Anolis sagrei: one gene and its partners. The protein of the gene in region 1 purifies or fractionates together with the protein of each later gene. This does not show direct contact. Links are inferred from orthologs where the notes say so. Each region holds a gene or a part of one and is shown in the gene's direction. Other genes may lie near its edges.

Region 1 (7,869 bases):
GATGCCCTCACTGTGGGAGAACATGCAGGTCAAGAATAGGGCACCACAGTCACCTACGTACGTACCCATCACCAGTCCACTGAACTTGGAGGACAATCTTATTCAGACAATGAGGGATCGCCTAAGTAGTAAGTAAATGAGGGACAGTGAACTGGCCCCCTATTTTAAAAATTTGAGGACCCCTGGTGTATGCACTTTCAAGTTGCCTGCTAACTTATAGGAACAACACAAATTTCATAGGAATTTCTCAGGAAAGGAATATACTCAGAGGCACCTCTGCCAGTTCCTTCCCTTGAAATATAACCTACAGTACCTTGTATCCAGTCCAAGTACTAACCAGGGCTGAGCATTTAGCTTCCAAGATCAAGTGGATACTTAGACAAACAATATTACAACATAGGTAACATTAAAACATTGCCTTGTCACATTACGTTAAAGTTACATTACACCAAAATGAAAATACGCCACCCAGTAAACAACACATTATTCCTTCTTTCCACCACTTTATTCCTTAAATTAGCAGCCTTGGAATGCAAAGAGAGCAACCCATGGGACACAGAAGGGTTTAAACTACTCCATAACAATGTGAGTTTGTTTTTCACAGACCAATTTCTCCTGCAAGTCAGAAAGGGGCACAGATAATGGTCTGTAGAGCTTGAACATAAATGGTACTCAAGTAGATTATATGCCAGACAAGGTTAATAAAAAATTAATGTGGGCCAGTAACTTTTGGGGATTCAACTTGCTAATTTGCACCAAGTGACATACATACATACACCGTGCTCTTATTCCAAACCAGGAATATTCTTGACCAGGAGAATAGGTTCCTCTGCCTGTCAGAGGCAAAAAAAATCATTTATTTAAATAATCATTGGAGATCAAGGCTTTCTGAATAATAGCAGGTTGTATGAACTACTCTTTGGGACACCATCAGGGATCGTGACACCAATTTTTGTGAAGTTTCAGTAGAAAATTATTATCTATATAAATAAAAATGTAATGTTCGTTTGTGGGATTAACCAAACTCAAAAACCACTGGATGAATTGACACCAAATTTGGACACAAGACACCTAACAACCCAATGTATGTCCTTCACTCAAAAGAAAAATTATTTTGTCATTTGGGAGTTGTAGTTGCTGGGATTTATAGTTCACCTATAATCAAAGAGCATTCTGAACCCCACCAATGAGGGAATTGAACCAAACTTGACACACAGTTCTCCCATGACCAACAGAAAATACTGGAAGGGTTTGGTGGGCAGTGTCCTTTGGTTTTGGAGTTGTAGTTCACCTATATCCAGAGATCACTGTGGACTCAAACAATGATGGGTCTAGAACAAACTCTACACAAAGACTCAATATGCCCAAATGTGAATACTGGTGGAGTTTGGAGGAAATAAAATCTTGACATTGGGAGTTGTAGTTGCTGGGATTTATAGTTCACCTACAATCACACAGCATTCTGAACCCCACCAACGATAGAATTAGGCCAAACCTCCCACACAGAACCCCCATGTGGGCCACAGCAATGCGTGGCAGGGGACAGCTAGTTTCATATAAATATTCCTGGTTTGGAATAAGAACATTGTGTATGTATGTATGTCACTTGGTGCAAATTAGCAAATTGAATCCACAAAAGTTAGATATAACCTCATCCTTACCTGTACTGTGTCGATATACCTGCAAGGTTAAAACTCTATACTGATTGACTTTTTGAGTCTTCAGGTGTGCCTGCACTCCAGTCAGAGATGTCATTATTACTCAAGCACAATGACACTGTCAATCACATTGTTTCATCGGCACATCCTACAAGCACACACCATTGTTTTCATTGCTGCTGTTAATTTTATAGTCATCGAATTTGTCAAATTTTCTGGTAGTTTAGCAACAATATTGTGACGCAGAAGGAAGTCCATCGGGGTCACATGCCTTAGTCACATCCCACCTGGACTACTGCAGCGCTGTCTGTGTGGGGCTGCCTTTGAAGACTGTTTGGAAGCTTCAACTGGTTCAGGGATCGGCAGCCATATTACTAACTGTAGTACCGTACAGGTAGTGGACAACTCCACTGGCTGCCAGTCTGCTGACAGGCTAAATACAAAGTGCTGGTCATTACCTATAAAGCCCTAAACTGTTTGGGCCCAGATTACCTGAAAAACCACATCTCCGTGTACAAACCAGCACAAGCACTACGGTCTGCAGAGGAGGCCCTCCTCTTGGTCCCATTAAAAATTGCCCCCTCTCTGCTCTCCTTTTAAAAGCTTTTTATAACACATCTATGCACTTTAGCCTATGGAGAGGACTAATTACACCTTATATACACCTCCACCTTGTTTTGAACATCTACCTTATTAATCTGCTGTATACCATCTTAACTACAATATTTTTTGTTGAATTTTAGGAGTTTTTTCAAAGTGACCATCACTCAGAAAAGCACTAGAAAACACAGTGGAAGGGACTTAAAAACCCAAAAAACAAAAAATACATTACAACGCATGCACAAAAACCACATATATAAACAAACACACATTTATACACACACATATATGCATATATACATACACAAAACACAGACGGGGCCACAGCAATGTGTGGCAGGGGGTGGCTAGTATATATATATATATATATATGTATGCAATGTTTGTTTGTGGGGTTAACATAACTCAAAAACCACTGGATGAATTGGCACCAAATTTGGACACAATTACACCTCTCAGGCCAACGAGTGACCACTCATCAAAACACTGAAAAACACAATGGAAGGGACTTAAAAGGCAAAAACAAAAATTACATTACACCGCATGTGCAAAACCACACATATATGCATATATATACACATACACACATATATACAGACACATATATATGCATATATACACACAGAAAATACATATACATAGACTGGATCACAGCAATGCATGGCAGGGGACGGCTAGTGTGTGTGTGTGTGTATATCTTTCCCTTCCTTCCTTCTCACCCTTTCCCTTGCCTTCTGTTGTGTGTGTGTGTGTATGTATACCTTCCCCTTCTTTCCTTCCTTCCTTCCTTCCTTCTTCCTCACCCTTTCCCTCTTCCTATCCTTTGTGTGAGTGTCTCTCTCTCTCTCTCTCTCTCTCTCTCTATATATATATATATACATCTTTCCCTTCTTTCCTTCCTTCCTCCTCACCTTTACCCTCTTCCTATCCTTTGTGTGTATGTGTGTATATATCTCTCTTCCCCTTCTTTCCTTCCTTCCTTCTTACTCTTTCCCTCTTCCTATTCTCTTTGTGTGTGTGTGTGTATCTTCCTCTTCTTTCTTTCCTTCCTCCTCACCCTTTCCCTTTCCCTCTTCCTATCCTTTGTGTATGTGTGTATATGTATGTATATATATATGTGTATGCATGTATGTATGTGTATATATGTGTGTATGTATGTATGTGTGTGTATATATATATATATATATATATATATATTCCCCTTCTTTCCTTCCTTCCTTCCTCTTTCCCTCTTCCTATTCTTTGTGTGTGTATGTATATATATATATTTCTTTCCTTTCTTCCCACCCTTTCTCTCTTCCTATTCTCTTTGTGTGTATATATGTTCCCCTTCTCTCCTTCCTTCCTTCCTCACTCTTTCCCTTGCCACCTTCCTATTCTCTTTGTGTGTGTATATCTTCCCCTTCTTTCCTTCCTTCCTCTTCACTCTTTTCCTTGCCACCTTCCTATTCTCTTTGTGTGTATATATGTTCCCCTTCTTTCCTTCCTTCCTTCCTTCCTCTTCACTCTTTTCCTTGCCACCTTCCTATTCTCTTTGTGTGTATATATGTTCCCCTTCTTTCCTTCCTTCCTTCCTTCCTCTTCACCCTTTCCCTTGCCACCTTCCTATTCTCTTTGTGTGTGTATATCTTCCCCTTCTTTCTTTCCTTCCTCTTCACTCTTTTCCTTGCCACCTTCCTATTCTCTTTGTGTGTATATATGTTCCCCTTCTTTTCTTCCTTCCTCTTCACTCTTTTCCTTGCCACCTTCCTATTCTCTTTGTGTGTATATATGTTCCCCTTCTCTCCTTCCTTCCTTCCTCACTCTTTCCCTTGCCACCTTCCTATTCTCTTTGTGTGTGTATATCTTCCCCTTCTTTCCTTCCTTCCTTCTCAACCTTTCCCTTGCCACCTTCCTATTTTCTTTGTGTGTGTATCTTCCCCTTCTTTCCTTTCTTCCCACCCTTTCTCTCTTCCTATTCTCTTTGTGTGTATATATGTTCCCCTTCTCTCCTTCCTTCCTTCCTTCCTCACTCTTTCCCTTGCCACCTTCCTATTCTCTTTGTGTGTGTGTGTGTATATATATATATATGTATATATATATCTTCCCCTTCTTTCCTTCCTTCCTCCTCACCCTTTCCCTTGCCACTTTCCTATTCTCTTCTTTCCTTCCTTCCTCCTTACTCTTTCCCTCTTCCTATTCTCTTTGTGTGTGTGTGTGTGTATCTTCGTCTTCTTTTCTCCCTTCCTCATGTGTATATATATGTATATGTATATATATATATAATCTTCACCTCCCCTTCCTTCCTTCCTTCCTTCTTTCCTTCCTTCTCACTCTTTCCCTTGCCACCTTCCTATTCTCTTTGTGTGTGTGTGTATATCTTCCCCTTCTTTCTTTCTTTCTTTCTTTCCTCCCTCCTCTCTTTGGCCCTCATCCCGCCCTCTCCTCTCCTCCGGGGCAGGCCTGGGTGCCCTTTCCCCCTTTCCCGGCGGTGGCCTGTCTCCACCCCGTCACAATCCCCGCCGGGCCAACCCAACAATCCTGCCCCGGCCGGGGTCTCGGGAGTGGGTTTTGGCCGCGGCGAGAGGGCGGGCAGAGGCAGGGAAGCAACGAGGCGGCGGCGGGCGTGGCGCGTGGATGCGGTCGGCCGAGGAGGAGGAGGCGGAGGAAGAGGCGGAGGAGGAGGCGGGGCTGGATCCGCCATCGCCACCGCCGCCTTCTTCCCCTTCTTCTTCTTCCCGAGGAGCCGGAGAGGGAGAGAAAGAGCCGGAGCAGGAGGAGGAGGGACAGGAGGAGCAGGAGGAGGGCGAGGGGGAGCGGGCGGCGCTGCTGCCATGGAACAAAGGGAGGCGCGCTGAGGGCGGCGAGGAAGGCCCTGGCGGCAGCAGCGACGGCGACGAGGAGGAGGCGGAGGAGGAGGAAGAAGAAGGAGCAGGAGCAGCACCGAGAGGGGAGCCGCCGTCGCCATGTCGTCGCCGCCGCCGCCTCCTCCGAGGGCCTGACCGGCCTCCGCCTTCCTCGCCGCCACCTCCTCCTCCTCCGCCGCCTCCGTGGGGCCTAGCCGAGCTGCCCTGGGCGGCCATGCCGAGCGGCAGCGCCTCGCCTTCGCCTCAGGAGGAGGAAGCGCCGCCGCCGCCCTCAGGAGACATGGTCCTCCTCCTGCCCTCCTCGTCCTCCTCCACGACTAGGCCGCAGAGCCTGTACTCCCAGGAGGCGCTCTTCCTGAGGGAGCGCCTGGCCTGCTTGGGCCTGAGGGAGGCCTCCGCGCCACCGCTCTTTCCTGAGGAAGAAGACGGCGACGAGGAGGAGGACGAAGACGAAGAAGACGGCGAGGAGGAGGAGGAAGAGGAGGCCGCGCCCCCGCCTGAAGGCCTGGACCTCGATTTGGAAGAGAACGCCGAGGAGGAGGGAGAGGGAGGGCAGGCGTCGCTGCTGCTCCTGCCCCGCGCCGTGCTCCTCCCGCCGCCCTTCGAGGCGGCCCCCGCGGCCTCCACAAGCGGAGGAGGAGGGGGAATAGGAGGAGGCCTGCTCTACGCGCCCGGCGAGGACGGGGTGCCCCCCGCTGTGGTGGCCGCCATGCTCTCCCAGGCTTACGGGCCTCCGCCGCCACAGCCAGGAGTGGGAGCAGCAGGAGTAGGGGGAGTGGCGGCTCCCGGAGGAGGCGGCGGCGGAGGCGGGCCGGCCCTCAACGGCGGAGAGGCGGCGGCGGCGGCGCTGCTGCGGAGGAAGAGCGTCAACACCACCGAGTGCGTCCCCGTGCCCAGCTCCGAGCATGTGGCCGAGATCGTGGGGCGGCAGGGTGAGTCGCCAGCCAGGCAGCTGGAAGGCCTTTCCTTCCAGACACCTCCTCCTCCAACGTTCATGGAAACTAGGCCCAGTCAGTGTCTTTCCCCTTCCCATGGATAACAAGGCCCAATCAGCCCAACCCACAACCTCCCTTTCCCTCACTCCCACTCTTCTGCTTCCTCCTCCATTCAAAACACAACTGTCTGTTTCCCTACTCCTTTGGACCCATCTACCCTTTCAAAACAAGGCCACAACTGTCCGTTTCCTCCCTTCCATTTCTCTTCTTCCTCCTCCATTCATGGAAGCAAGGCCCAGCCAGCTCAAGACACAACTGTCCGTTTCCTCCCTCTCACTCCCCTTCCTCCCACATTCATGGAAACTAGGCCCAGCCAGCCCAACATACAACTGTCCATTTCCCTTGGACCCATCTATGAAAACAAGGACCCAACTGTCTTATTTCCTCCCTTCCACTCCTCTTCTTCCTTCTCTATCATGGAAACAAGGTCCAGCCAGCTCAAGACACAACTGTCCATTTCCTCCTTTCCACTCCTCTTCCATCATGAAAACAAGGCCCAGCCAGCTCAAGACACAACTGTCAGTTTCCCTCGTCTCTTGGACCCATCTTCCCCTTGAAAACAAGGCCACAACTGTCAATTTCCTCCTTTCCACTCCACTTCTTCCTCCTCCATGGAAGCAAGGCCCAGCCAGCTCAAGACTGGCTGGATCCACCGTCCCTTTGAGAACAAGGCCCCAACTGTCCATTTCCACTCTTCCACTTCTCTTCTTCCTCCTCCATTCATGGAAACAAGGCCCAGCCAGTTCAAAACACAACTGTCCATTTCCTCCTTTCCACTCCTCTTCTTCCTCTTCCATCATGGAAACAAGGCCCAGCCAGTTCAAAACACAACTGTCCATTTCCGCCCTTCCATTTCTCTTCTTCCTCCTCCATTCATGGAAACAAGGCCCAGCCAGTTCAAGACACAACTGTCCATTTCCGCCCTTCCATTTCTCTTCTTCCTCCTCCATTCATGGAAACAAGGCCCAGCCAGTTCAAAACACAACTGTCCATTTCCGCCCTTCCACTCCTCTTCTCCCTCCTCCATTCATGGAAACAAGGCCCAGCCAGTTCAAAACACCTGTCCATTTCCTCCTTTCCACTCGCCTTCCATCATGGAAACAAGTCCCAGCCAGCTCAAGACACAACTGTCCATTTCCCTACTCCCTTGGACCCACCTCTCCTTTGAGAACAAGGCCACAACTGTCCCATTTCCTCCCTTCCATTTCTCTTCCTCCTCCTCCATTCATGGAAGCAAGGCCCAGCCAGCTCAAGACACAACTGTCCATTTCCCTGTCCCTTGGACCCATATTCCCTTTCAAAACAAGGCCACAACTGTCCATTTCCTACCTCCCACTTCTCTTCTTCCTTCTCCATTCATGGAAGCAAGGCCCAGCCAGCTCAACACACAACTGTACATTTCGTCGTTTCCACCCCTCTTCTTCCTCTTCCATCATGGAAACAAGGCCCAGCCAGCTGAACATACAACTGTCCATTTCCCTCATCCCTTGGACCCATCTTCCCTTTCAAATCAAGGCACTGTCCATTTCCTACCTCCCACTTCTCTTCTTCCTTCTCCATTCATGGAAGCAAGGCCCAGCCACTCAAGACACAACTGTCCATTTCCTCCTTTATACTCCGCTTCTTCCTCCTCCATTCATGGAAACAAGGCCCAGCCAGCTCAACATACAACTATCCATTTCCTCCTTTCCTCTCCACCTTTTCCTCCTCCATTCATGGAAGCAAGGCTCAGCCAGCTCAACACACAACTGTCCATTTCCTTCTTTCCAC
Region 2 (7,286 bases), on another chromosome or scaffold:
TCTAGATCAGGGGTCCACAAACTTTTTGAACAGAGGGCCAGGTCACAGTCCCTCAAACTGTTGGAGGGCCGGATTATAATTTGAAAAAAAAATGCATTCCTATGCACGCTGCACATATCTTATTTGTAGTGTAAAAAACACTTTAAAATAATACAATAATTAAAAAGAGGAACAATGTTAACAAATATAAACTTATTAGTATTTAAATGGGAAATGTGGGCCTGGTTTTGGCTGATGAGATAGGATAGTTGTTGTTATGTACTTTCAAGTTGTTTCAGACTTAGGTTGACCCTGAGCGAATGACCTTGGAGGGCCGCATCCGGCCCCTGGGCCTTAGTTTGAGGACCCCTGTTCTAGATTCTTCCCTTTTACCAGAATTCTGCCCTTTGGTTTCTTCGCTGTCCCCTGTGGAAGAAAAATGCCATAATAATGGTGTGGTGTAATGTACTTAATGGCCCATAGAATGCAAGGAATAAAGAAAACTGTGGCTAACAGCAAGCAAGAAAGGAAATAAAAGGGAAAGGGGAAAAAACTAACTCATGAAGCAGTCCAAACAAGTGAGGCAAAGAAAAGGAAACTGATGTGACTGGCAGAAGGGACGGGACGATTGCCAAAATATTTTCCTTAGCTTTTCCTTTTGTGCTTGCTCTGCAGGCACAAAATAAACACAGATATAAGTCACTGAAACCACAAAGAACATACATTTCAGTATTATTGGAAGTGAGAGGCAGCATCAGGAAGCTAGATAGTTCCTGGACTTCCCCCTCTGTCTTTCCCCTAATTTTATGTACCTAGACAGTTTGATTTCATCCGACCTGATGATGTCACTTCACCCATCCACACAAAAAATGGCCACTTCTCTTTGTTCCCTTTGTCTGAGAAGGGGCACTCACAGTGTGTCAAATTTTAAAGGAACTTCCAAAATTCATGATGTTCAGGTTTGACATTTGGGAAATAGCTAAGAACATGTTTGTGTTCTACTTAAATATCAAATGAAGGCATTGATTTCAGTTAACCTAGTCATCTATTTCTCTGCAAAATCAACACATTGTCCATATTAAAAATGACACAATGCATATATTGCCATCTTTATGAAAAGCTCATATACAAAAATGCACAAATTTTTGGCATTCATTTAGCCCACAAAAATGGAAATGCACCCCAACCCTCAAATAAGAGACATTACTTATAAAAAAGGACATCTCCCAATGTATTAAGAGACAGGTTTTCTGGTCCGCAAATAAGAAACATCCCTTGTAATAGGGACAACCAAAGAACCTAGATAGTCATGAGGGACTCCATGTTCAATAATTATTACTAGCTTACTTCCATACATAAGAGCCATCTTTAGGGTCTCTTATAACTATATACAATGGTGATTAAGGTGTCTTTGCTGAAAATGACTTCTATCTTTGAGACACAACCTGTTTCCCAGTCATGTTGAGATCTACCTGTAATTTCTCTAACAAAAGATGTAATTGATACATTGGCCATGCCACTGAGTAACTATTAAGAACTTTATCAGGTTATTCTGGTCCTCTGAAACCCTTAACTTTCAATTCCCCAGAATCTTCACACTACTAGACCATATAATGCTGTAACACTAGAATTTATGTTTTCGTTTCTCCAGTCTGGTTGCCTGCCTTCAGTTTCTTTGACAAGCTGTGTGTTTGACATCTCAGTAGACAACAGAAAAAGAACATTGAGAACTGATGATAAAAATAGGGAAAGCTAATTTAATACACACACACACACACAAAGAGCAACCAAACTTATTACTGAACAAAGCTCTTCCAAACCCACATTTTAACTTGGCCTACACATCTAGATTCACTGCTGAGCAATGTCTTAGTCATCAACACAGCAGGCAAATGGCTGGCATTGTGGCACAGATTCTGCTCAGAACTGGAGAAAGTTCAATAATACTGAGTGTTTGAGTTGTCTAAGAGCAGGATAGCAGTTATGGTGGGGACACATCACCCAGACAACATGGAGCCTCATTAAATCAATTTCTGATTTATTTTAATTATTCAGTTTGTACAATATTCCAATTCATCAAAAACAACTATTGAGGTGGACATAGCTCCATGGTATTTATAGAACAAATACTCATAATTTGGATGATAAATGTCTTAGTTGTGAAAAATAACACATTATTGCTAGGGAGGTTACATAGAAATATATGTGTATGTCTGGGGAATCAGAGTAACAATTATGCCATCATTAATATGTCACTTTCTAAGCAGGCAGGGTAATTCTTATTATAGTACTAGCAGAAAGTTGGGGGAAGAGGAGAAAAGACATTAATGAAGGGTCAAGCTGTAACTATAACCTGGCAAGTCAAGTAAGTCTTTTTTTAACTGAAAGATGGCCATGCATAATAAATAAGAGGAATCCTCATCAAGCAAAGTTCAAGTCACTATCGATTGCGAGGAACATCAAACTAATCTAGGGAAAACAAATTAATAACCTCGTATGTAAACTTTCACAGAAAAAAAGTCCCAGTGGATACAAATGGGTATCTGCATTAAGTCACAATATAAGACCAGGCACCGTATGAAATACATCGGGCCATCATAAGTTACCCATCACACTAGAGAAACCCCCCTCCCCCCACTTAAAATCCAGTTTCTGCCTCCTGCAGAATTCTGGGGCTTGTAGTTTAGGGAGGAACCTTTAACAGCCTCACTAAACTACAAACTCCATAATTCTGCAGGAGGCAGAAACCAGATTTAAAGTGGATTTTTTCCTCTAGTGTGATGAAGTAGTTAGACAGGGAAATTGCAAATGCCTACATTGGGCTCTTGGTATTTTCTGTGGTTTGGTTCCAGTGTCCGTGTGGATATCAAAATCCACCCATACATATAATTGTGAAGTATAGAATGGAATATATAAGCATGGCAAAATCAAGCTTTTTAAGTTGTGTGTGCAATATTTTCAAGCTGTGGATAACTGAATGCCTGAATGCATAAGGGGGGCATATGGACACACACAGAATGATACTGCAGAGAAATGACCAAGCTGGGGGGGGGGGGTCACTACAAACTCCTTCGCCTTCCTGTGCTCCAGTGCCCTTATTAGACTGACCACAAAGTAGGGCTTTAACAGGAAACCTATTCAAGATGTCTAATTTGTACAAGAGTGACCATTCTTCCCAGTCGTGTTCAAGTATAGCCAAATGTGCAATCCTTTGCAGTCTTCTTCCATCTCCTTCTCCAGCAGGAATCCTTTCCAAGTTTCAGCCACGCACCGCTTGCCTTCCTCGCTTTGATTGAGGATCACCAATTATTATCTGCTGCAAGCAAACAGCAACCACGATAATTACAAATAATAATAATAATAATAATCTTTATTTATACCCTGCCACCATCTCCCCAAAGGAGACTCTGGGTGGCTAACATGAGGCCAAGCCCAAAATTATAGTACAGCAAAATAAAATACAAGAAGCAAAAATAACATCAAAATAAATACATGAAATAACAAAATAAAATAACCAGTTTCAAAATAACATGATAGAGAAATAGAACACAGTGGGCGGGCCAAATGTACTAGGAATAAAATTGATAAAACCCTGGATGAGGAATGTAGAATGGGTTTCTGAGGGAGAATGTGTTTCTGAGAATGAGTTTCTGAGGGAGGCACACTGGCATTTGCTGGCTCCTTCTCATGCAGTCATTATTCACGTGCTGCTCTGAGATCATAGGCTTTCAGAAGCAGGTGCTGCAGCCCATTCCCCTGCAAACAAACAAACACACACACACACACAAACAAACAAACAAGCAGAGAGAGAATGAATGGGAGGCTGCGGGAGAAGGAAAGGCGCTCTTCCAACCCAGCCAGGCGCACTTCTACGCATGCGCTTCGTCTCTGACAGGAGGTGGGCGGGCGGGGGGGAGTAAGAGGGTGGGGCGAAACAAAAGGGAGACTTCGCGCAGGCGCAGTCCCGACTAAGTGTCAGCGTTTTGACACACGGAAGAGGAGGTGGTAAAGGGGTGGCTGAAAGGGGAAGAGGCGGGGCCAAGAAAGAGAGCGCGCGTGCGCGTTGGAGAGAGAGAGAGCGCGCGCCGAGCCGGCCTAGCCTATCCGCTTTCCTTCGCCGCGCCCTGGCTTGGGCCGAGCGAACTCTCTGTGCTGCCGACCAATCCCCGCTCTCCGGCCACCCCCTCCTTCGCGCGCGCGCACAAGGCCGAGGGGGCGGGGCCGGGCGCCTGCCAGTCATCCCTGCCAGTCAGTCAGTCAGTCAGTCAGTGTGGCGCTGCCGGGCGGGTGGGCTGCCTGTGTCTGTTGCCCGCGGGGGCCCCAATGGCGGCGACGGCGGCGGGGGCTGAGGCAGAAATAGAGGCAGGGCCGCAGAGGCGCTGAGGGGAGGAGCGTGAGGAGGAAGAGGAGGAGGCGGAGGCCATGAGCGCGGCCGCCTCCGACGAGCCCGGCGGCTTCTTCCTCTTCCCGAGCGGCACCGGGCAGCAGCACCCGCAGCACCCGCCCAGCGTGGCCATGGGGCCCGGGGAGAGCGCGGCCTCCGTGGCCGCCTTGTCGGCGCTCCTCCCGCAGGCGCCGCCGGGCTCTTCGGGGCTGGGCTCCCCGGCCGGGGGCGCCAGTGGCAGCGTCGGCGGGGGCGCCTGCCGGGCGCGCTACCAGCTGCTGCTCTCGGGCCGGGCCCTGGCCGAGCGCTACCGGAGGATTTACACCGCGGCGGCGCTGAGCGAGCGGGACCAGGCCGGGCACCCGGGCAGGTAGGGAGAACAATAACAGCCCAGCAGCAGCAGGAGGAGGAGGATGCTTCTGCTGCTGCTGCGCACACGCCCCGCCAGGGACATCCGGGCGGTTGCAGGTGGCGCTTCCTGCCCTGACTCACCTGGGAGGGGGATAGATTGGCTCATCACTTGGGAGCCCCTCCCCCCAGCAACAATACAGCAATATATAATACTAATATTGTGCTGTGCTGATGTTGTAATATATTGTATACACATATAATATGGATAATATTATAATGCAATACAATATAATACTAATAATAATACAATGCAATGATTATATATTTTATATTGCATGTAATATTACTAATAATATTATATAGTACAATATAGTAAGATATAATACTAATATTGTCCTGTGCTAATAATAGGATATATTGTATACACATATAATATTGATAATATTATAATTCAATACTAATAATAATAAAATGTAATGATTATATATTTTATATTGCATGTAATATAAAATATTTTATTTTTATTTTAAACAGAGGCTGGATGGCCATCTGTTGGGGGTGATTTGAATACAATATTCCTGCTTCTTGGCAGGGGGTTGGACTGGATGGCCCATGAGGTCTCTTCCAATTCTTTGATTCTATGATTCTAATATTACTAATAATATTACAGTACACTGGTATAGTATAATATAGTAATATATAATATCAATATTGTGCTGTGCTAATAGGATATATTGTATACACATATAATATTGATAATATTATAATGTAATACAATATAATACTAATGATAATGCAATATAATAATTTTATATGTAATATTACTAATAATATTACTAATAGTATTACGGTATAGTACAATATAGTAATATATAATGCTGATATTGTGCTGTGCTAATAATATATTGTGTACACATATTATTGATGATATTATAAAGTAATACAATATAATACTAATAATACAATGTGATAATTATGTATTTCATATTACATGTAATATTACTAATAATAATAAAGTATAGTGCTACAGTACAAGATAGTCATATATAGTAGTAATATTGCGCTGTGCTAAATATATGTTGTATACGCATGTAATATTGATAATATAATGTAATGCAGTATAATACTAATAATAAAATATAATTTTATCTTTCATATTACATGTAATGTTATTAATACAGTACAGTGGTATAGTATAATATAGTAATATATAATACTAATATTGTACTATACTAATAACATAATATGTACATATAGCTTGTAAGCCACTCTGAGTCCCCTTCGGATTGAGAAGGGAGGCATATACGTCTCACAATAAATAAATAAATAAAGAGGGGGAGGCTGGGCTGCATCCTTCACAGAAGCACCGCCCTCGGCCTATAGACCCCCTCATCACCACCTCCTCAGGATCCAGAAAAGAACGCCTACCTACTTCACACCCCCTCATCTCTTCTGCATTTACTTTAATTGTCCATTGAAATAAAACCCAGCTCTTTGAATCCACTGGTTCCCAATGAGAATTCGCAGGGACAGTGAAATCATGCTCCCTTGTTGCTGTGCTGTTGGGATGAACTTTGCCTCTGATGAGTGCACGCCTCCTCAGAAGTAAACCCCAATGTATTCAGTCGTATGTAAGTGAGGCCTCATCTACAATGTCATATAAAATCCACATCATCTGCTTTGAACTGGATTTTATGGCAGTGTAGATTCATATAATCCAGTTCAAAGTAGATAATCTGGATTATCTGCTTTGATTTGAATGTAGAAGGGGGCTTAAGAATAAGGATAGGGAGTTTATTGTACTATGAGATTTTACTGTCTCTGAGAATCCAGCTCAATTGTGAATGCATCGAATTAGGGAAAGGCAGAAGCTGGGACTAACAGTGGGAGCTCACCCTGCTCCCAGGATTTGAATTGCCAACCTTTCAGTCAGCAAGTTCAGCAGCTCAGCGGTTTAACCTGCTGCGCCACAGGGCTAATATGGCAGTGTAAACTCATATAATCCCGTTCAAAGCAGAGAACCTGGATTATCTGCTTTGATAACGCAAGCCAACAAAATCAAACTTTTTGTAATCATCAGAAATGAGAGTAGCACAGTTTGAATCAATCTTTATGTTGATTTTAAATACGTCTTTTTTCCCATCATGTCAACTTTTTTTTAAATGACAAATGGTACATTGCAGTGGACTACTGTAGAGTCTGCACATTTTGCATCGTATTCGTCTAACAAGCATTTTTCATCAAGTATTTTTCATCAGATATAATTTTGGGTCATTCTTACAGAGTGTTTTGTGCTGGGTTGTTCTGCCTTGATATTCTGGGTTTTATGGCTGTGTGGAAGGGCCCTTGGATATCTCACAGCCAGGTACTCCTGGATTGCTTATTACTTTCTTAGTTGTCTAAAATAGGAAGTTGTTTCTTTCTCTTTACCTGAAGGTAGTTTAACTATGGGTCATTATACTTCTTTGTAAACATTTCAAAAGACAACAAGGCACATTAGAGTTAGCATAACAATAATAATAATAATAATAATAATAATTATATTTCTTACCTTCTCTTTGTGGCGCGAGGC
Region 3 (7,867 bases), on another chromosome or scaffold:
GCTACATGACCTTGGAGGTGTCTACGGACAACGCTGGCTCTTCGGCTTAGAAATGGAGATGAGCACCACACCCCAGAGTCAGACATGACTGGACTTAATGTCAGGGGACTACCTTTACCTTTTTACTTATTATTATTATTATTATTATTATTGGGTCAGCCCTGGTTAGGGTGTGAATGGGAGATTATTATTATACTTACATTATTACTATTATACTTAATATTATTATACTTATTACTAGCTGTTCCCCTGCCAAGCGTTGCTGTGGCCCAGTCTGTGTATATGTGTTTTGTGTGTGTATATATTTCTGTATATGTGTATATGTATGTTTGTGTATATATATGTGGTTTTGCACAAGTCTTGTAATGTAATTTTTGTTTTTTGGCTTTTTAAGTCTCTTTCTCCGTGTTTTCCAGTGTTTTTATGAGTGATGGTCACTCCTTGGCCTGAGACTTGTATTGTGTCCAAATTTGGTGTCAATTCATCCAGTGGTTTTTGAGTTATGTTAATCCCACAAACGAACATTACATTTTTATTTATATGGATGTACTAGCCGTCCCCTGCCACGCGTTGCTGTGGCCCACATGGGGGTTCTGTGTGGGAGGTTTGGCCCAATTCTATTATTGGTGGGGTTCAGAATGCTCTGTGATTGTAGGTGAACTATAAATCCCAGCAACTACAACTCCCGAATGTCACATTTGGGCATATTGAGTATTCTTGTAGAGTTTGGTCCAGATCCATCATTGTTTGACTTCATAGTGCTCTCTGGATGTAGGTGAACCACAACTCCAAAACCAAAGGACACTGCCCACCAAACCTTTCCAGTATTTTCTGTTGGTCATGGGAGAACTGTGTGCCAAGTTTGGTCCAATTCCATTGTTGGTGGGGTTCAGAATGCTCTTTGATTGTAGGTGAGCTATAAATCCCAGCAACTACAACTCCCAAAGGACAAAATCAATTTTTTGAGTGAAGGACATACATTGGGTTGTTAGGTGTCTTGTGTCCAAATTTGGTGTCAATTCGTCCAGTGGTTTTTGAGTTATGTTAATTCCACAAACGAACATTATAATTTTATTTATATAGATTATATGTAGATGATTATTATTATACTTATTATTATTATTATGGCACCAGATCCTACTGACCTTGGAAGCTAAAATGTGTCAACCCTGGTTAGGACTTCCATGGGAGATGATGTTATTATTATTCATATAATCCAACCCATAGGCAATATTTCAGAGTAAAGACCCATCAAAACCATTTCCAAAGGAAACTATTGGGTTTGCCGTACATCAACCACCAACTTGATGGCCCATCCGCACAAACGTTAATTGTAGATTTAAGATCAAAACAGTTGTCCTTGTGGGCCCTTCAAAGGCCTTCTTCCCAACTGATGGCAAGCTGACCAAATGGATGGGATGCAATACCAGATTTTGAATGGAGATGATGCACCTGTAAAGCCGGAGAACTTCTTGGGCGGGTCGGAAGAAGCGGCCGGCGCCTTCTTTGGGGAGGTGATTTGTCCGCCGGGAGAGATCTTGGCCTGCACGACTGCCTTCTTCTTGGGGGTGTTGGAGGCTTTTGAGCTCAGCTCTGCAAAAGAGACCGGTGTCGCATCAATCTCGTTCCCCCCAAACCCTCAATGGCAGTCCAATACAAGCCATTCCCTGCCTATGTATGTATATATGTATGTATCTCTCTCTTAGGGGTTGGACTATGTATCTATCTATGTATCACTCTCTCTTGGAGAGAGTCCCTTCCAAGTCCAGCTACCTATCTATCTATGTATCTATCTATCTATCTCTTGGGTAGACTGGATGACCCTTGGAATCCCTTCCAAGTCTAGCATTCCATCTATATATCTATCCATGTATTTATTTATCTCTTAGGGGTTGGACTGGATGACCTTTGGAGTGCCTTCCAGGTCTAGGATTCTCCTCTCTCCCTCTCTCTCTTAGAGGTTGGACTGGATGACCCTTGGAGATATGTATGTATGTATGTATGTATGTATGTATGTATCCATCCATGTATCTCTCTCTCTTAGGGATGAGACTGGATGACCCTTGGAGTCCCTTCCAAGTCTAGCATTCCATCTATGCATCTATCCATGTATCTATTTATCTCTTAGGGGTTGGACTGGATGACCTTTGGAGTGCCTTTCAGGACTAGGATTCTCCTTCTCTCTCTCTCTCTCTCTTAGGTGTTGGACTGGATGACCCTTGGAGATATGTATGTATGTATCCATCCATGTATCTCTCTCTCTCTTAGGGATGAGACTGGATGACCCTTGGAGTCCCTTCCAAGTCTAGCATTCCATCCATCCATCCACAATTCTACCTAAGTACATACCATTCCCTCTCTCTGTCTTATGAGTCCAGCTGACTGTCCCTGTGGGTCCTCCTTTCCATCCCTGTGGCCCTCTGTTCCTTTTCTGTCCCTCCCTCCCTCGATGTGCTGAGATCCCTCACCCGCGATGTGTTGGTTGATCATCTCCTTCTCGGGCTCCTGCAGCTCCTCCCATCCCTCCAGGTCGGTGAGGTCCTCAATCCGCTTGGTGGTGGCTCGGGCGCGCTCCAGCTTCTCGAAGGCGCACTTGACGTGGTACCACTCCTTCATGTCCCCGCCGGACTCGGAGAAGGGGTTGGGCACCACCTTCCCGATGCGCACCGTGCCCTTCAGCAGCTTCTCCTTGCACTTCTTGCAGCCGGCCGTGCCCCGCTTGGCGTAGTCCACGCAGTAGCGCTGCTCCGCCATCTGGGAAGGAAGGAGAGCCAATCTCCGCAAAGGCTGTGTAAATAGCAATGGGGGGAAAGCGATCCCAGGTTGAGGCGGCCGCCTCGGGAGAAAGATCAGCCTCTGGCTCTGGTTGAAGGCCCTGGTTGTCCGTAGAAGGAGCGCCGAGAGGAGGAACGGCATGCAGCGCCCGGAGCAGAGTGACTAAAATACTCTGAAAAAGAGACACAACAACAACAATAGACCATAATACAATAATAATTCTATCCTTCCTTATGGTAGAAGGGGGTTGGTCCTTCTTCCTATCTATCTGTCCATCCTTTTCTTTCCCTCCCTCCTTTTCCTTCCTTCTTTTTCTCTTCTTTTGCTTTTCTATCTTTTTCTTTCCTTCCTTCCTTCCTTCCTTTTTTTCTTTGTGGCTCTTTCTTTCCTTCTTTCATTCCTTCTCTTTTTCTTTCATTCTTTCTTTCCTGCCTTCTTCTTTTTCTTTGTAGCTCTTTCTTTTCTTCTTTCATTTCCCTCATTTTCCCTCTCTTCTTTCTTTTCTCTTCCCTCCCTTCCCCTTTTTCTTCCCTTCTTTCCCTCATATCTTTTCCCCTTTCCTTCCTTCCCCCTCTCCTTTTTCTCTTCCTTCCTTCCTTTTCTTTTTTTCTTTGTGGCTCTTTCTTTCTTCCATTTTCCTCATAAGCCTTTCCCTCTCTTTTTTCTTTCTCTTCCTTCCTGCCTTCTCTCTTTTCCTTCTCTTTCTCTTTCTTTCCTTGATCGTTCATTCCTTCTCCATCTTTTTCTTTCTTTCCTTCCCTCCTTTCCCAGCTTTTTATTTCATTCCTTTATCCCTTCTTTCATTTCCTTTTTCTTTCATTCATTCACGCTTTCTTTCCTTTCTCCTTCTATTTCTTTGTGGCTCCTTCTTTCCTTTCTCTCTGTCCATTTCTTCCATAAACCTTTTCCCTCTCTTCTTTCTTTCTTTTCTTTTCTCTTCCCTTTCCCCTTTCCCCATCTTTTTCTTTCATTCTTTCTTTCCATCCCTATGTTTTCCTTCCTCCCTTTCTCTTCTTTATTCTTTGTGTCTTTTTCCTTTTCCCCTTTTATTCATAAACCTTTCCTTCTTTCTTTCCTTTCTCTTCCCCTCTCTTCCTTCGTTCCCTTCTTACATCTTCCTTTCTTCCCTTCTTTCATACCCCTTTCCCTTTCTTTAGCGTGTTCCCTCCTTTCCTGACCTCCTTTTCCATCTCTTTCTTTCCTGCCTTCTTCTTTTTCATTGTGGCTCTTTCTTTCCTTCTTTCATTTCCCTCCTAATCCTTTTCCTTCTCTTTTTTCCTTCTTTTCTTTCTCCTTCTTCTTTCTCTTCCTTTCCCCCTCTTCCTTCCTTCTCCCCTTCCTCCCCTTCACACTCCTTCCTCTTTCTTTCTTTCCTTCCTACTTCTTTTTCTTTGTGGCTCTTTCTTTCCTTCATAAACCTTTCTCCCTCTCTTATTTCTTTCCTTTCTCTTTCTTCCACTCTCTTCCTTCCCTCCTTTTTCCTTTCTTTCCTCCTTCCCTTTCCTTCATAGACCTTTCCCTTTTCCCCTTCCTTTTCCTTCCTTTTTTCCACATACCTTCCTTTCTTCCTCTCTCTTGCAATGGTCGCCTAGCAACAGCCAATCCCCTTCCTCCCTTCCGCAGCCATAGAGAAGAAGGAGGAAGAAGAAGAAGGGAGGGAGAAGAAGTTCCTTTTTGTTGCATGAGAGAAAAAAGTAACTTTCCCCTACTTGCATATTTCCATATCCACTTCCTCACCTTTGTTTTCCCTCTTGCAGGACCATTGCTAGGCCTCACCGGAAGTGGCTCCCGCCTCAAAGCCTCGGCTAGGCCTCACCGGAAGTGGCCGATCTAGGACTCCACACGCCTCATGTCCCACACCTAAGCCGCTCTAGGACTCCAAAGGAAAGGGAGGGATACAGAAGAAGAGTGGAAAGAAAGGGAAGTGAGTTTCCTTCCTCACTTCTGGTGGGTATGGCCTCCCCACCGGAAGTGGGCCTTCTTGGGCGCTTCTAGGCGGGGGCGGCTCTATGGGCCCGGCTTCCGGTCCTCCCAATCCTTGACCCCACCCTGGCTTCTTCTTCTCTTCATTAAAGAAGGCTTCTGCTGCTTCTCTTCCTTCTCCTTCTTCCTCTTTAGGTGAGATTAAAGGGGCGTGGCCTCTGGGCTTCCAGGCCACGCCCACTGTGGGAGGGAGGGAGGGGGAAGAGGGAAGGGAGCCATTGATCTTGCCTCCTTCCCTCCCTGCAAGGTAGGACTACTCTGATGACAAGGCCTCCCTTTCTACCCCTATTGATTAGTCCCCTAATTAGTGAGGTTAATGAGTTGGGGCCAATTGGGAAGGAAGGAAGACTGAGCCCCCCCCCTTCTCTCCCTTGCTTTCATTATTATTATAATTAATTATCATAAATTATAATAAAATTATATCATTGATAACATCCATTATAATATAATAGTAATAGGAAGTAAGAAAAGGAATGAAGAGAAAAAAGGAGAGGAGGGAAGGAAGGAAAGGGGAAAACTCCCCCCCCTTCTCTCCTTTGCTTTCATTATATTAATTATCATAAATTATTGTCATGGTTGGTCCTGAAACTCGCTGGAACACCTCAGCAAGCAAGAGTCCAAAAGTGGCAGGCTCAAATCCAGCACCTCAACCAATGGCTGATACCAAATGAGAGACTCCCTCCTGGGCACACAGAGGACTGGGCGACTTGGAAGGCGCTGAACAGACTGCGCTCTGGCACCACGAGATGCAGAGCCAACCTCAAGAAATGGGGCTACAAAGTGGAATCCTTGACATGCGAGTGTGGAGAGGAGCAAACCACAGACCACCTGCTGCAATGCAACCTGAGCCCTGCTACATGCACAATGGAGGACCTTCTTGCAGCAACACCAGAGGCACTCCAAGGGGCCAGATACTGGTCAAAGGACATTTAATCAACTACCAAACTCACAAGTTGTGCATTTTTCTGTTTGTTTGCTTTGTCCTGTTAGAAATGTAATATAATGGACTGGCTGCTCTGACACAACAAATAAATCATAAATTATAATAAAATTATATCATTGATAGCATCCATTATAATATAATAGTCATAGGAAGTAAGAAAAGGAAGGAAGAGAAAAAAGGAGAGGGTGGAAGGAAGGAAAGGGGAAAACTCCCCCCCTTCTCTCCCTTGCTTTCATTATTATTATAATAAATTATAATAAAATTATGTCATTGATAACATCCATTATAATAGTAATAGGAAGTAAGAAAAGAAGAGAAAAAAGAAGGAGAGGAGGGAAGGAAGGAAAGAGAAAAGGAATGAGGGGAAGAATAGGGCTTTTAATTAATAGGCAGGAAATGGAAGAAAAGAAAGAAAGAACGAGCCACAAAGAAAAAAAAAGAAGGGAAAGGAAGTATTAATATTTATTATTATATACTTTTTATTATTATAATTTAATAATATTTATGATTATATTTTTATTATTATTATTATTTATTAATACTGAGCTGCCGAACTTGCTGACTGAAAGTTTGGCAGTTCGAATACGGGGTGTGGGTGAAAATTTAATTATTATTATTAATCTTTATATTATTGTTGTTGTTATTATTATTACAATATTTGGAGAAGAGTGTCCTGTATTTCAGAGGAAGGAGCTGGCAAAAACATTCCTGGCCCAAGAAAACCCCATTATATTCCCTAAATCCCTAAGCAATTTGAAGCTCACAAGATGGGGAATGAATGAGATGAACTTAAACTCTTAACCCAGGAAAGCAAAAGCAGCTGTCACTTTGCTAAAGGCCTAAGTCTCCATCAGATCTTGGATGCTAACCCTTGAATTGGATTATATATTTGGAGTCTACACTGCTGTATTATCCAAAGTGGATCACTTGGATTATATGGCTGTGTCAATTAAGCCTAAGAAAAACCCAGGTGAATTGACAGGTGAATTGACCTGATATCATCTTTTCCTTTCCTTCATGATAGTCTTAGGAAGCCGAAGCCATGACGGATTCCAAGTACTTCACCACCAATAAAAAAGGTGAGATGGGTATAGAGGAATATAATATTATACCATTATTTAATGTAATTATATAATATATTATAATGTAATATAATATATTATAATGTAATATAATATTACTATAATATTATGATGCTATTATTTCATATAATAATAGTATAATGGCATTTCTGACTGGACTGTATTTCCTTTCCCTCCTTCCAAGGGGAGATCTTTGAGCTGAAAGCAGAACTCAACAATGAAAAGAAGGAGAAGCGGAAGGAAGCTGTCAAGAAGGTCATTGCGGCCATGACCGTGGGCAAGGACGTCAGGTACGGAATTATTGTAACATAATAATAATAATAATAATAATAATAATACCATCATCAAACCTTATCTGAATAAAAATTATTATTACATTACTAGCTTGGGTGCCTGGTGTTGCCCAGGTTATTTGAACAAGTCAATTTTTTTAATGGTACGAAATGCATGTGGTTGTGGGTGAACTACAACTCCCATCATGCCAATTTAAACCTGAGAAACTCCCATCAGTGCTTCAAGTTTGTTATGTTGGGCAAATTTGCTCTGGCTACATCATCACTGTGGTTCAGTGTGCTCTCTGACTCCTATAAATCATGTTGAATTCTCCCCAAACATCTCTTGTATGTTCATTATTATGATCAATTCCTGTGTTTGCTGTGTGCCATAGAAAAGAATAGGGAAGGGTTAAGGGAGAGGCAGTGGGCGGGGTCATGCAAATTCCACACCAACGGAGAGAGTAAGAAACACTGCGATGTCTGTGGTGGAGGAAATAAATCAAATCTAGGATGGAATTGTCCCCGAATGAAAACCTTCCCTTGGGTGGTGGGCAAGATGGTGTTGGTGGGAGACATTGGCAGGGCTCCTGGACATGTTTACAGCACTCACTATAACCTGCAATGTCATTGGAGGGAGGGAGGGCCTTTGGTGTCACCTGAGTGGTGGGAGATATAGCTGTTTGTGGAGGCAGGCGCTTTTCTTCCTTCCCTGCATCTCTCTATCTTTCATTCATTCTATCTTTCCCCAGCTCCCTCTTTCCAGATGTGGTCAACTGCATGCAGACAGACAACCTGGAGCTGAAGAAGCT

Evidence for each region.
Region 2: the proteins of MEX3C (region 1) and MYCBP2 purify together in Homo sapiens (affinity purification with mass spectrometry; 3 studies listed by BioGRID and IntAct, with this or other methods). This does not show direct contact. The link is inferred for Anolis sagrei from reciprocal best matches to the Homo sapiens genes MEX3C and MYCBP2.
Region 3: the proteins of MEX3C (region 1) and AP2B1 purify together in Homo sapiens (affinity purification with mass spectrometry; 4 studies listed by BioGRID and IntAct, with this or other methods). This does not show direct contact. The link is inferred for Anolis sagrei from reciprocal best matches to the Homo sapiens genes MEX3C and AP2B1.

Annotation. Positions count from the first base shown.
Region 1 is NC_090022.1:286,899,423-286,907,291, forward strand, and holds the start of MEX3C (RNA-binding E3 ubiquitin-protein ligase MEX3C), read left to right. Parts: upstream 1-4,859; 5' UTR 4,860-4,874; coding exon 4,875-6,036; intron 6,037-7,869. UniProt on the Homo sapiens protein: E3 ubiquitin ligase responsible for the post-transcriptional regulation of common HLA-A allotypes. Binds to the 3' UTR of HLA-A2 mRNA, and regulates its levels by promoting mRNA decay.
Region 2 is NC_090023.1:127,768,128-127,775,413, forward strand, and holds the start of MYCBP2 (E3 ubiquitin-protein ligase MYCBP2), read left to right. Parts: upstream 1-4,209; 5' UTR 4,210-4,401; coding exon 4,402-4,733; intron 4,734-7,286. UniProt on the Homo sapiens protein: Atypical E3 ubiquitin-protein ligase which specifically mediates ubiquitination of threonine and serine residues on target proteins, instead of ubiquitinating lysine residues.
Region 3 is NC_090031.1:28,420,382-28,428,248, forward strand, and holds the start of AP2B1 (AP-2 complex subunit beta), read left to right. Parts: upstream 1-4,777; 5' UTR 4,778-4,893; intron 4,894-4,954; exon of another isoform or gene 4,955-5,005; intron 5,006-6,725; 5' UTR 6,726-6,743; coding exon 6,744-6,780; intron 6,781-6,967; coding exon 6,968-7,073; intron 7,074-7,807; coding exon 7,808-7,867. UniProt on the Homo sapiens protein: Component of the adaptor protein complex 2 (AP-2). Adaptor protein complexes function in protein transport via transport vesicles in different membrane traffic pathways.